2 linked regions of the Oreochromis niloticus genome follow. The protein of the gene in region 2 binds, or shares a complex with, the protein of the main gene of each other region. Links are inferred from orthologs where the notes say so. Each region holds a gene or a part of one and is shown on either strand. Other genes may lie near its edges.

What was found. The genes of interacting proteins can lie anywhere in the genome.
Region 1: snrpf (region 2) and gemin5 share a complex: the UniProt entries of both Homo sapiens proteins name them as parts of the SMN-Sm complex. The link is inferred for Oreochromis niloticus from reciprocal best matches to the Homo sapiens genes SNRPF and GEMIN5.

Annotation. Positions count from the first base shown.
Region 1 is NC_031975.2:29,177,653-29,185,162, forward strand, and holds the start of gemin5 (gem-associated protein 5), read right to left. Parts: upstream 3,019-7,510; 5' UTR 2,884-3,018; coding exon 2,742-2,883; intron 947-2,741; coding exon 792-946; intron 95-791; coding exon 1-94. Other genes in the region: mrpl22 (large ribosomal subunit protein uL22m), read left to right, coding at 3,266-3,290, 3,393-3,435, 6,585-6,720, 6,801-6,866, 7,332-7,409. UniProt on the Homo sapiens protein: The SMN complex catalyzes the assembly of small nuclear ribonucleoproteins (snRNPs), the building blocks of the spliceosome, and thereby plays an important role in the splicing of cellular pre-mRNAs.
Region 2 is NC_031981.2:17,184,191-17,191,841, reverse strand, and holds the start of snrpf (small nuclear ribonucleoprotein F), read left to right. Parts: upstream 1-4,641; 5' UTR 4,642-4,794; coding exon 4,795-4,797; intron 4,798-5,412; coding exon 5,413-5,538; intron 5,539-7,261; coding exon 7,262-7,326; intron 7,327-7,472; coding exon 7,473-7,539; 3' UTR 7,540-7,651. UniProt on the Homo sapiens protein: Plays a role in pre-mRNA splicing as a core component of the spliceosomal U1, U2, U4 and U5 small nuclear ribonucleoproteins (snRNPs), the building blocks of the spliceosome.

The sequences.
Region 1 (7,510 bases), on a different chromosome or scaffold from region 2:
TGTGGTACCAGTGACAGACCACCACGCCTTTCTCATCCCCGGACACCACCAGGTTTTTATCCACAGGGGACCAGTGCAGCGCTGATACGGAGCTCTGTGCACACAAAGACAAGGAGTGAGTGCATGTCACAACTTCTTCTTAGTCAGGTGGGTGCTGACGGGCAGTGAGCTGTTTCCAAAGACATTTATAGCAAATACTAAACACCAGATATTATTATCTAAATGTAAAACCCTTTGTTAACATTTTGGCATGATGAATCAATATACTAATGTTTTTTTATGCGTTTCAAGATTTTTCAAATAAATATCCTTTCTTGGTTTAAACATCTTCCCAATGATATTTAACCAACATGTCATTACATGCCGTTTATTATTCAGATTAATCCACAGACAAAATACTGCTTTAAGGCATCTGCTCAAGCAAATAATGGAAAATAAATATGCAATGCCCTCAGTAACCTTGACAACTGTTTTAAAAATGCCCTCGAGAGAGAATCACAGAGCTGCTGCAGACGATGTTTTTGCTGCGCATCCCACTGAGTCCTGTCGAGCTCTGATGCTTAACTTTCTATCTCCAGACCTGGTCAGGGGTCCAGTCTCATCAAGGAGACTGGACCATTTCAAATAAATGTGAAAAAAAAAACAAACAATGTGAGACAGCACAACGCACATACAAGCTGCTTCCAAGTTCCCTCTGCTGCTGGTGTAGAGCACACAACATCCTGTAGGGGGCGCAAGCACAACACAAAACCCCTTTCTGTGTTAGTGGACCGGCAGAACAGGACACTCACCTGATGAGCTGCGTGATCCCTAATAAGAGTCTTGCTGCTCGAGTCCCAGAAACGGATACTGCCATCGCTAGAGGAGCTGACACAGATGTGACTCTGCCCTGCATGCTGGCAAAACGAAAAGCCGGACACCAAGTCCTTATGGCCCACGAGCTCACCTGAAAAACACACAGAAAAGGACACTGATTTCACTGCGACTGGAGGATTAATCGGTTTAATTTCAATCATGATTTTAGCTTCCAACAGTTATAAACCCAAGATAAACTGGAGAAAATATAATAATAATAATAATGACTTTTTTTTTGCTTTCAGCTTCTAACTTAATCTATAATAGTAAATCATGAGGTTTTAGTAGATACAAACTTTTCATTATAAATTTATAAAATACTGTAAACAGCTACTAAAGCTCTGAACTTAATGCCCTCTGTGCCCCCTTTAGACTCACCCCTGCATGCTAAAAGTATCACTGCTAGAAAGAGAGCACAGATTTGTGCCAGATTTAAAGTGCCAATCTAAATAAACAGTCCATCTGCATACACATGCCTTTATTTTTGGCTTCTTCTTAATTTAGTTGTGCTGGCACTTTCTTAAATCAGTGGTGAGTGGGGAAAGTGGAAAAGATTTATTTTTTTCACATTTAAGTGATCCAAACAGATGGTTTGATGAAGGACTTTTATTGGTATTTCAATAAGAAAATAAAATCTACAATATGTCTATTTTACCCTCTTTAGTGAGGGCTTTGTGGTGAAAAACAGCCACTATTCTGAGCCTGCCTGACCACCCTGTGTCCTTCAACATCCTGCACACCCTCATTTAACGACAACAAAAGGTGAGGAAACAATGAGACAAACCCAAAACAGGAGTGGTTTTACAAGTCGAGGCCAATTATATTTTTCCCGCTTCATCTTTTTTGACTGCTTTTTTGGTTTTTTTTACTAGCATTGCATTTGGCTAGCGTCAGTGTCAGTACCAGTAGAAAATAGTGGACCCTATAGAACATGGACAAGTAGTCCAACTTCTCCAGGATGGCACATCACTAAGTTTCACTGCCAGAAGGTTTGTAGTGTCTCCCAGCACAGTCTCAAGAACATGGAGGAGATTCTAGGACACACAAAGATACTGTAGGAGAGCTGGACACTGCCAATGTCCTCTACAGGGCCTTCTACTTAATGGACCCTGACTGGCATTTGCCAGAGAATCGCAGAATCAGGAAATCCACCACTGGTGCTCTATGGTCTTCACAGATGAGCACATGTGACAGACATAAAAGGGTCTGGAGAAGCTGTGGAGAACGTTATGCTGCCAGTAACATCATTCAACATGACGAATGTGGTGGCGGGCCAGTGATGGTCTCGGGAGGCCTATCCCTGTAGGCACGCACAGACCTCTCCAGGTTAGGTAACGGCATGACAACGCCCGGCCTCTTGTGATAAGAGTATGCAGGCAGTTCCTGGAGAATGAAGAAACGACACTGACTGGCCCGCACCTAAATCCAATAAAACACATCTGGGCCATTATGTTTTCTTCAACCTGATGCTACCTGGGTGTACAGACTAGCACCAGGACAAGCTCCTGGTACAGATCATGGAAAAGATCCCAAAGGATATCCATCGTCTCATTAGGAGCATGCCCTGACATTCTCAGAAATTAATACAAGCACATGAGGGCCATACAAACTACCACAATGGATTAGCCTGCCACTGCATTTTTTCACATTGACTTTTGGGGTGTTTTTGGTAAGTTCATCATTTTTATTTCCATCGAATGTTGTAAAATCCTTTCACTGGTCACTGCAGCTCATCACAGCCCGAGATCCTCTAATCTCTCCGATTTGGTCAGGCAGATAAGTTGTACCTGAGTTTAACGCGCTGTTTCTGGCTGCAGGGACTTGAACATGAATGGCACGGTCAAGCCTGTGCTATGTGTGGTGTCCAGCGGTGACCGCTCACTTACCTGCCACTCTGCACGAAGATGCAGACACATCTATCAAGTAGATGATGTTTTTGGCCCCGACGCCCAGCAAACCGCTGCTGCTGACATCACTGCAGCGCGAGCAGTACCAGTTGGGAGAGGCGGGAAGCGACCGTTCCCGCATGACGACCTGGATACTTTAAAAATAGTTTTTTTTTCTTTAATTAAGTCCTAGAAACCTAATCCAAACTTCTCACATGTTACCTGCACTATCGTAGCTACAACACTTATGGCCGTACACACAGCATGGTGTCGTAAATCCTACCGGTGCCTGGTACGGAAGCCTAGCTGGGACAATCTAAAATCCGAGGTTGTTGGGTTAAAAGCAATAATTTCCGACATTTATTTTGAACAAAAACAAAAGCTATATATTAATTTCCCTTTTAATACGATGTTTAAATGACGATAAATAACTAAAGTAAAGGAATTACATGCGTTGTGAAAACGCAATAGACTAATATTGACACTGCCATAAAGCGAAGGTATAAATGTCGTAAAAAACCAACATGGCGGCTGCAATGACAGGACGTGGTGAGAGCAATGCAGATATATTAGCCAATAGTTAACAGTTTCGTTGTATTTATAATAAACCTCGTCTACAGTTTAAGTAAAGCGATCTCTTCTTCTTTTCAGGTATCTCTTTTATTAGGAGTGTACCTTCGGTGTTACTCTCACGGTAAGTGCATCAATACTAGTGGCAGGTTAGCTTTACCGCTAACGCTCTCTGCAGGACAAATCCAGCTCAGATCGGCTGTTTATGTTACCTACCTACTCCTGCATCATTAGAGTGGGAATTCCGGGTATCATTTGAAGACAGTGTAGGAGGTTATCTTAATTTTACAGCCGCTATTTCTTCAAGTTTAGGTAACCAAGAAACTCAGCATAGTTAGTCTTGGGGGGAAAAAGAAGGCTACTGGACTTCTTTAGGTTTGTAAAGACGTTTCACCTCTCATCCAAGATGTTGCTTCAGTTTATTTAAAAAAGAAAGAAAAATGGTGATGTATAGTCCCGCTTATTTAATTTTCTAGTTGGGGTTATATCCTTTGAAGGTAGTCCTGAGGGTCGTTGATCCACTTTTGATCACCCATCATGAGACCATGACTATCATGTGAACACTGCCATCACTGAAAAAGTGACCTTTATGCTTTTGGTGCACATGTACAGTTGAGTTTTGTCCTGTTGTGAACCGACTGTTGGGTTTCTCCTGTGTGCAGATCTGAGCACTCCTTGCTGAACTGCATGCACTATGTGGCTTAGCTTGTGTGACAGTTTTGTCCTTGAGCTAAACCAGTTTTTGTCTCAGAGAAAGTCACGGATATTTTCTACAAATAGGACATCCCGGTGCACTTCAGAACCAGCAACACCCTTACCCAGTCAACTGTAACTGCATTTTATTGCACGCTAATGTGTAACAGGGTCATTAAACTGAAATGTCTGATTTATAGGATATGGAAAACAAAAATCTTAATAACCTTTAAACCTTTATTTAGCTTATTGAATTTATGTGTTCACAAAAATGTCAGCTTAATGATTTGTAAAACATTTTGCTGACTTTCTGTCACAGGTGTTACCTTACTCCTTTGGTATTTTATTAAATAATTTATTTCCTTAATTGCTATAGCACATATAGTGATCACATTATTATTATTGTTATTATTAAACACTTTTTACTTTTTCTTCATATGTTGTTTGTTTAATTTAAGACTAAAAGAAAATTAAATACATGAGAGGTAAAACTTGAGGGGGTAGGGACAAATAAGTAGATACTTCTGCCTACTCCTTTTCAAACAAATAATGGAATGATATTTTGTAATGATTGTGAAGGGACATGTTTGAAATAAAATGAACTGAACTGAACTAGTAGTATTATTAGTGTTACTTCTCAGCCGTAAAGGCAGCGTGGACACACAAGTTTGTGAATGCAATAAGTTGAGAACAAAGTCACGTAGGATTCTAAAATTGATACGATAAGTGTAACTATTCAAAATCTCAAAAGTTATAATGTCAGTGACCTTCGTCTCAAGGTCAAGTTTTCTCAAAATCGCATGAATGTGATATATCAAGAGCAAGGTGATGTAGGATTTTGAAATTCATACCATACCATACTATTATTATTATCAGTAACAATAATAATAATAATAATAATGCAACAAATAAGGATCTTTTATTATGATTCATTATGACGTATTATTTTCAGTCAGGTTTGGTGTAATTGTGATTGTATGATATTTGTGCAACAATTTATTTGCTTAACAGTTAAAATATTTGTTGGAAATTTGATGGATGTAAAATTATTAACAAGCTGAATATGGCAAACACACACACACACAACAACACCATCGAGTTCAGCTAAAACCTTCATATGAAGTTATGAAAGAACAGAGAAGAATTCCGATGAATGAAGAGACTCTGGTCTTCCCACGAGCAATTCCTTATAGAATTTAAGGAAATTCTTACACTGTAACACCAGTGACACAACTCCAGGGGAACGTTACTTTCTTTTGATATTTTCTAATATTTTATATTTCGTGTTGTTTATTGTATATTTGATAGTCATAGATAAATTATTGCATTTTTTGGATTGCATAGTGGTAAAAAACCCCAACATGGTTCAGCTTCAGGGTTAAAGCACCTCCTCAATTTCTTCTGTCCTGGCAGCAGCATCTCATCAATGGAAGTTTGGAGGACAGACTTTTAGGGTGGCTGGGATCTGGTGAGATCCTATTGGCTCAGATCTGCAGCATTTGATGTATATGTCCCGTCGGGTGCACCTCCCTATCTGGGGAATGATGCACTCTGTTGAGGTTTTTCCTGGGTGGAAGTTTGAAGTTCTTTAATCATCTGAGTTGGTAGAAGCATTGATGGGCTTTCTTTACCAGTGGGGTGTCTAGGATGATGTAAGGATCAAGGTATTTGAAGTTATTCCAGTTATCCACCAGGGCTCCTTTAATGCTTAGAGGGTGGAAACTTTTCTGCTGTTTCATGTTAATGTCCACTATCATCTCATTGGTCTTACAGGCATTAATCTTGAGGTTGTTCTCCTTACAGCAGTCAACAGGTGGTTAATCTCATCCTGGCAGTCAGATTTGTCATTCTTTGACATCAGATCTGCGCATATTTTAGAGAGTCCAGAGTGGCAGCCAGGGAGGAAGCGATGAAAGTTATGATCAGTTTTTCAGCACCTTTCATGATCACAGACGTCAGTGCTATGGGGCGAAAGTCATTTAAGCAGCTGGGCTGGGGTTTCTTAGGAACAGGGACTATTATTGTCTTTCTGAAGCATGTCAGAATAATGCACTTAGACGGGGAGAGGTTAAAAAATTACTGTGAAGGCTAATAAACTGCAGGCTATTTTAAAAAACAAACAAAAAAACCCCAACATTCTTAAGCCTCCCATGACTGTCTGACTGGGATTTGATCTGAGTGAAGTTGAGTGCAGTTACCAAAGGGAAGGAAAGGGGGGGGGAGAAAAGTAAATAGCATACATAAGTTTAATAAAAGAAAACCCCAAAGCACCAAAGATCCATCTCTTACTGGCTCAATAGTGGAAACAATATTAACAACACCAGAAACTCTTTATTACAAAGCATCACTCTCTAGTTCCTCCAGGGGGAGTAACTGATAAGTGGAGTGTTCCTTCCCCCTCTCCTATCCTCCTCATCTCTCTTCCTGGGGAGAACGATGTCAGGACTACCCTGCTTGGCCTGCTGCCACAATGACTTGACTTTAAATAAGTGGAAAATAACAGATGGACAGATGTGGTGTACACCTGCCTCACACTACTGGACTGAACCCACCTCAGAAACATTTTCTCCATGTTCCCAGGTTACAGATTCTAGGTGGTGGCTCCCAGCAGCTCTCATGTCTCCACACCAGCGCATCCCTGGAATCTAAAACTTGGGAGAGGAGGAACCTGAAAGTGTATCCGCCTCAGCTGCCTGATGAGCCTCGCAGACCAGCAGTGAGTCTTCCTGCCAGTGTATGATGCTGAGTGAAAAGATGTCCTGAACAGGAGCTGATAGAAGTGTTTTCTTCCCACAGGAGATTCACCACAGTAGGAGGCAGATTAAGTACAGCAAAGACAAAATGTGGTATTTGGCCAAAATGGTAAGACGTACTATATATTCAAATCATTCAACAGCTCCATCCTGCTCTGTAGTGTACAGGCATAAGTAATGAAGTGAACTGAGAGTTAGCATCACATTTTAAAAAGTTGTCATCTGATCAGAAATGCTCAAGGAACTATTTCAGCTTCTTTATTTAAAACACTGTAAAAAAAAAAATAATCACTTTTGTGTAATGATCATCATATATTCAGTATGTTCTTCATACTTCACATTAGTCCTAGACAATCAGATTCTTTTAAATATGTTCCTATCTCAAAACGCTAGACTGTGTATGTGCACACATTCCACTGTGTTTGTGGCACATCTGCTCATAGACTCGCTTTGGTTTGTAGGCTTAAGCTCAGTGCCGGAGTTAAAAAGCAGTCCAGCATCCTGCTGTCCTAACAGCTGTGCAGAAACTTTTATTTGATTATTTGGTCCACATATTTTTTAATTTTTTTTCCAGATCAGAGGGATGAGCATCGATGAGGCCATTGCACAGCTGGAGTTTAATGACAAGAAAGGAGCAAAAATCATGAAAGAGGTTTGGAGCTGCCTGTTCACCCTTTTAACTGGTTGTTACCGTTTGTTTGTGTGCGCACAATCCCAGAGTGAAGATTAATCTAACAGGAATTTGATTTAAGT
Region 2 (7,651 bases):
CGGCTCATGAGCTAAAATGATGTAAGGACACGAGCATTTCAAATATGCAAATAAAGCTCTGCTGCAATGTCAGAGGAATTTCTGGACAATCGCAGCCTCTAACAGCAGGAAGTCAGGTGTTAGTTTCATTCATCGCATCAGGTTTGAACTTGTCAGATACTTCAGAAACGGTTCAACGCTTCAGCGCAGAAAAAATGTGAGCGCGTCAGACTGTTTGTGCCTGGAGTGAAATTGCTGCTCAGACTTACAACCGGCCGACTTGGTTATTACAGATATTTAACTTTTTGCCCCCAAAGAGGCCACAGGGTTCAACTAGTGAGCAGTTTGTGGGTGAGGGGCATGTCAAAGTGACATAAGTAGAGCAGGTGTTGCACCTACAGGATATGTCATTTTCCATCTGCCTTCAGTCCAGCTGAGGGCAGGTGGAGGCACCGACAGTGATGCTTTTACACTGTAAAATGTAATATTGTGTTTAATTAAAAATATTAAATAGGCTGAACTCAGTTTTTATCAATTTGTTATTAGAACTCAATTTAAATAAGTTACCAGTACTTTTTATGCAAAAACGCTGATAAACTCAATTTATTTGAGTTGTCTTAACTTAGAAAAACTAAGTAAGCTGGAAGTTTTGCTTCTCAGTGCGGAAGGATGAAAGATGTGTTTTGAAAATGCCACGTGACTACAGTCCTCCTCCCTCTCGGATCAGTCCGCATGTTCACGGTGCATTTTTTATGGAATATGTTGAGCAAACCTGGAGAAGCGTCAGCTCAAGATATTATTGTTGTCATTGCTGTGGATCTTTACCTGATACACTGACTTGGTGAGTAAATGTTTACTCTTATTCAAACTGATTTGTGGCTTCTCTTAGTTTAGCACCAGGTTTAAAATCTTGCTAGCTAGTTAGTGTTAGCCTAGCGTTGCTGCTGCCGCTGGGCTCATGTTACTTAAAAATTAACACCACAGCCTTAAAAACCTTACATAAAACTATGTGGTGAAATTTTCTGTTGATTGTTTGAAATAAATAAGTGAGATAAGAGCCCAGACAAAATTCTTCGGGAGGTGCAGCCGTTAGGGGTGGGGTAGGTGTGGGATGTGGGGGGTGGATAACAGAGCTCTCCGAAAACGTGGAAGCACTTTTGCAAATATGTGATATTTTGATAAATTAAGTAGATATTTGAGCATTACACAGCTACATTCTCGCCTGAAAATATCTTAAAAGGTTATTTTGTGACCCAGAAAGGGTAGTCTGGGGAAAAGGAGGATCGCATTTGTCGGCCACGGTTGTCGGAGCCTGTGCGTACTTGTAAGCGCGGCAATGGCGGAGGAGCGCCGCTGAAAAACTTATTACTTTTTCTGGGTCACAAAATAAACTTTTAAGATATTTTCAGGCGAGAATGTAGCTGTGTAAAGCTCAAATATCCGCTCGATTTATCAAGACATCACATATTTGCAAAAATGCTCCGACGTTTTCGGAGACGTCTATTTTTTTTTCATGCTTTGTGGCAGCTTTAGAACATCTGTGGCATCTATTAATGTCAAATCTAGCCTTTATTTAACAACATAAGCAAACTCTATGTTACAATGATTGCACAGCCATTAAGGATCAAATCAGTTTCTGAAAAATGTTCTGTTTTTTCTCCCTCTGCTTGCTTCTTACTGTCTTTGAGGCCGATCGGGACCAGCACTCCTGCTGTTGGACAGAAAGACATCAACTCAGTGGTAAGTATTTTGGTTTTCCAATATATTAGCAACTGTCAGTGACATTTATATTAATCAGGCTGAACTTTAATCATACTTTAGATCAGCCTGTTTTACTTATTGTTTTATTTGTGCTTTGGTTTGGGGAAGTTGTTTCTTTACTGATCTTTTCCTGTCTTCTGTTATTAGACTTGAGATATGACTGCACTATGCTGTTGCTGGTGACTCCAGTTAATTCTACAAGACATGCTGTGTAAGTAAACAAACAACAACAGTTTAGTCTGCATTTCTTGAAAGATCACATCCCCCAAACTTAGTTTAGAGGGTCTACACTGTATATAGTGAAGTCTGCAAGTTTTCTAACAGCAAAATTTGTTTTGTGCCCAAAATCATTTTGCACATCATTAGAATGAAAGTTATTGGCCATGTTTGCATAGCCCTTTTTAAAATGATGCTTTCATGACATTATTGTATGCTGGGTGGTGGTCACTATGCAGACTGACAATTGGGACATTGAATGTCACCTCTCCGGTGGGGAGGGAGCCTGAGATCGTCTAAATTGGAGTCTGTTCTATACCAAATGCAGAAAAAAATGTTTTAAGAAAGCAATTAAGTTCATGTTCCAAAAAATATGACTATTTGCTTGCAGGACACCAGGAGAGATGAGTCCTCCGTCACAGATGGTGTGGTCAGTGAAGATGGTCGCCTGCAGGTTCAAGCTCATTGCATCTCCAACCCACATCCACTGCCAGTGTACTTAAGGGAAGTTAAAGACTTTCTTCTGCACCTACATTTGGATCACCTCGATCCATGACAGTCATTCAGGCAGTAATGCCTGGACTGGAAACAAGCCATCCTTAAAATAATACAACATTCCAGCTCATGTGTTGGAATGCAAAACAAATGTGTTGTTTAAATTAGAGACTGCACTTGTGACAGAACGATAAATATTTTATTCTGATTATATAAGTAATGTAAGTACAAAACAAACTGTGGTAGGCCTAAACTTATTTTCAGAATAATTACATCTGAGACTTTGTTTCATTGTAAGATTATAACAGTGATGGCAATATAATTGTTTGTTGTTCAGCAGAACAGTGTCCAGTATGTTGGCTGTTGTACTTTGTGTTTGAAAATAAAAGTTGGGCTCATTTTAACATCATTACAAAAATTGTTGTTAATTATTTTTAATCATATTCATGTTACCACAAATTGTTTTTTCATTTAGTTGAGCTTAACATTTTTGTCAGTAGGTAAACAATTAGTATTGTACAGTCAGAAATATCAAGTTATTGTTAATACTGCAGACTTGCAATGTATAAGTTGTCCTAACAGTCATCTTAAGTAAGCTTTACTTAGTTTTTTTGAGGCAACGAGTTTCCATAATTTTTTTGAGTTCTGGGAACTAACAAGGCTGTACAGTGTACTCAAAATGAGTAAGTTGCCCTAACTTGGTCATCTTATGTAAACTTGATCCAATTTTTTTGAGTTCTGGGAACAAATGAGCTTGTACAGAGTACTCAAAGTAAATAAGTTGACCTAACTTAGTCATTTTTAGCTAAGCTTTACTCAATTTTTTTGAGGCAACGAGTTTCCATAATTTTTTTGAGTACTGGGAACTAATTAGATTTTACAGTGTATTTGCTTTGAACAGTAATCAGATTACAATTTAACTTTTAAGTATATTATCATGAGGCAAAATAACTTTAGTTGTCATTTTGATGTGTATTTGGGATCATTGTCATGTTGGAACGCTGAGTTATGTTCAATTTTCAGTCATTTAGCTGTTAATTTGAGCTAAGTTGAAGTTTATTGAGGTATTCATGCTAAATTACAATGTCCCAGAACACTGGCAGCAAAACAGCCCCAGATAGAGCATGATGCTACCACCGCCATGCCTGACAGCTGGTACAGGGTTCTTAGGTTTGATAGCCTGACCTTCACTCCTCCAAACATTCCTCTTGTCATTGTGGACAATTAGCTTGATCTTTGTCTCATGTGACCATAAAACTGGCTTCAGAAGGCATTTGTCTTGTCTGTGTGGACAGCTGCAAATTTCATTCAAGCTTGAAGGTGTCTTTTTGGAGGGGGGACTTCTTTCTTGGTTGATAGCTATGTAAAACTGGCTTCACTGTGGACAGAGACATAGGTGTTCCAGAAGTTTCTAGTTCATGGCAGGCTTGAGCCTTAATGGTTCCTGGGTTGTTCCTGAATGTCCCAACCAATTTCCTCTCATCTGAGAATGACAGTTGGGGTCTTCTTCAAGACCTCAAAGTGTTGACACATCCAAATGATGCATGCAAACTGATGATCTTTGAATTTGCAGTTGTTTACAAATGGCTCCGAAAACCTTTGTAAATTGTGTAAATCTACAATAATCTTTCTTAGATCTTTACTGGGTTCCTTGGACTTTCCTATTATTCTGAATCAGAACCACTTATTAAAAGATTTAAGTTAATTTATACATTTGAGACAGTATGTATACTTTTGAAAATCCAAAATAAATTCAAACTTGCGCACCCAATTATTTTTAAAGTCATTAAAGATGTATACTGTACAATCATCCCACTCTAGAAAAACTAAAGTTTAAAGAAGTAATTAAAACCCCCAAATTATTGGAAACTTCTGACCACATCTGTACATATTCCTTATTTAGTATGTTCTTTGCGCCACCTGCCTGCAACTGATCGTATTGAAGATTATAAATGGTTGCTATCCTGTCACAAATCACTCCTGACATTGTCTCCACCCGCTCCATCCCTCCTCCACCCTCTTTTTCTCCTTTCTTGTGCGCTGTCCCTTGCTTTGATGGTTGACCCCAGCTTGTTTCTCTCATGTCTCTCATGGTCTTAACGGTTTCTGTTCTGCTCATAATAAGCAGTAAAATAAATAAATGAACAATGCGGTTTGGGTGTGGTGTGAACCCCTGACCGCTAGGTAGCGGTGTGTAAAAACACGCAGACTCCTCAGGAAGCAAAGTGCAGGACTTCCGGTCGGCGGTAAAGCGTGTGCTGCTGTGAAGTGCAACGTTATTGTGACGAAAGGATATCAAACGTATACCTTAAAACGCACAGTGCTTATTTAATTTGAGCTAAAATGGTGAGTAAAGCTCGGAAACACTACCTTTTAGCTTCACCGGATGTTTTGGGGGGATTTTTTACTCAGAAGGGCGCGGGAATAGCGACTAGCCTGTTAGCTGGTTAGCATAGGCGAAGCTAGTATCTCATTCATAACTTTATAGTGAATGAATGAATCCTCACACGGAAAGCAGCCTCGCATTTTATGTTTATCTACGGAAACATAATTCGGCTGGTTTCAATGCTTCCCGTTTATTTGCTGTTTGTTTATTGGCGCTTTTCTTCCTGCTTGAATCCGTAGAGAGTGTCGCACCAAACTTCATTCAGAAAACGTCTAATTTAACTGCCACACAAACATTTTGAAGCTAAATACTTATAATAACTTGATCATCATAAAATTTACGGTTTATTTTTTAATCGTCTTTGTCTTTGAAAGATTGTGCAAACTGAAAGGAAATGTGCAAGAGCTCTTTTTAGAGACCTGATACCTACTATAGGATCACAGACCAGAATAAGTCACTGCATATGGTTTTGATTTGACATGTACGGGTATTACGATGCTAAACCGTAGCTGTTTGTTTCATTGGGTCTGAATTTAATGTGTGTGTATTTATCTCTGATTGGTCTGCTTCTCCAGAGTTTACCTCTGAACCCGAAGCCCTTCCTGAACGGCCTGACTGGAAAACCAGTGATGGTGAAGCTGAAGTGGGGCATGGAATATAAGGGCTACCTCGTGTCTGTGGACGGGTACATGAATATGCAGGTATGGATCATTTGCCTTGTTCAATTACCTAAAATTTGTTCTACGGTCAAATTTTGCATTGTTTATAGACTAGATATTATGGTAAGAGAAACTGAGACTCGATTTCAAAATAAAAGCAGTTTTTAGCTAATGTGATTTTTAACATTGACAAGCGCATTTAGTTTGCCATTAATGCAGCTGCTGTAGCATGAAAGGTGACTTGGATTTATTTTTCTAAACTTTGTGTTATTCCATATCCAAGTAAAAACAACTGTTAGCCCAGAGTAATGTGTTACCTTTGCCTCCCCTGCTTCTTTCACTGTGTTTGAAGCAGCATACACAGCTCTTCTCTTAGAAGGTTGTTTTTACTGTTGCTTAATGCAACACAGAACTCCTCCAAGCCGTCAGCACACAGTTCCCCTGCATTACCCAGCAACAACAGAAAACTCTTTTGTGGACAGGGATAGCTCAGTAGGTAGCGTGGTCGCCCCATGAGCGGAAGGTCGGGGGGTTTGAATCCACTGAACAGCTACCCTGAGGTACCCCTGGGCAAAGTACCGTCCCTACACACTGCTCCCCGGGTGCCTGATTAGTGGCTGCCCACTGCTTCACTGAGTGAATGAGTTAAATGCAGAGAAAGTAATTTCCCCACGGGGGAATAAAGTATACATTATTGTTATTATCTTTATCATTATTATTATCATTATTATTATTATTATTATTAAAACTCGAGTAATGTGTTCATGGGGTCACACAAGAACCTGTAGTATTTTCCTGTTGAAGGATAAAATGACATCATTGCAAGGAAGCATCATTCCAGTGTTGGGTGGTACACCAGTGACTAGACAGTCACAGAAGAGGGGACCTGTGTTAACTCAAAACTGTCCTCACTTGTAGTTCTAAACATACACCCTGATGAAAATGCACACATATTAATATACTTAAGACAACATCAATAATCCACCTCAGGGAAAACATCCTGATACTCGATAATTTGTGAAGTATGAACAGTTTCTACCCTTAAAAACTGCACATTTATAGAATTACACCACAGGCTATGCTAAACTTAAAGTCAGAGTTTTCTGTATCACCAAAGTGGCTCTGTTTTTACCTGGTGAAATCACTGTGGCAACTAGGATTACATTTTTTTTTTTTATTATTCTTTTATTTAGCGCATGTTTTAAGTATGAATTTGTGCAACTGTGGCGACTGATCATTGCTATTGTCACTAGTCGGTGCTCAATGTACAAGTCATTTAATCTAATTACATTTTATTTAAAGTCCAATGATGGTGAATTGGTGTCCTAAATATTTATACAACCATCTGCCACCAGATGGAGCTGCAGCAACAAGATTTTTGTAGAAAAATGCCATAACTTTGCTAGTCTGGGCCTGATCGTATTGTTAAGGCTCTTTTTAGTTATTTTGATATACAAGCAGTAGAAATGAGCTTTCTCCAAAGGATGGCTGGCCTCTTCATTAGAGGCTCACAGTAGAGCCGCTGCACCTCCACACTGAAAGGAGACAGTTGAGGAGGTCACCTTCTGGGTGAGGTGTTCTAGGTGGACACCCAGGAAGCACCAGAGAGATTTTATCTGTCAGCTGGCCTGGGAACACCTCAGTGTTTCCCTGGATGAGCTGGAGGAGGTTGTTGGGATGAGGGAGATCTTGGCTTCATTGCTCCACCAATTATCTTACCTGACCTTTGAACTTTGTTTTATTTTATTTATGTTTTTTTTGACAGCTGGCAAACACAGAAGAGTATGTGGATGGAGCGTTGGCCGGACATCTCGGTGAGGTTCTCATCAGGTATGTGAATGACACTTTGTAACGCCGCAGAGAGAAATCAGCGGGAGTCCGAACAGTTTGAAGTCGTCAGACTTGACTAACTTGTGTTAATAATTAAGTGACTGGTGGAAGGAAACGCTTTCTCATGCTGTGCTCGACCTCCACAGGTGCAATAATGTTTTGTACATCAGAGGTGTAGAAGAGGAGGAAGAGGACGGCGAGATGCGAGAGTGATGCTGGGCTGATGTGTGTTTGTGTTTTCACCGTGTGAAACAAATGAGGGTTGGGGTTATTTTTCAAGCAGCTTTGAATCTTTTTTTTTTTTTTCCTACTGTATGTGAGACCA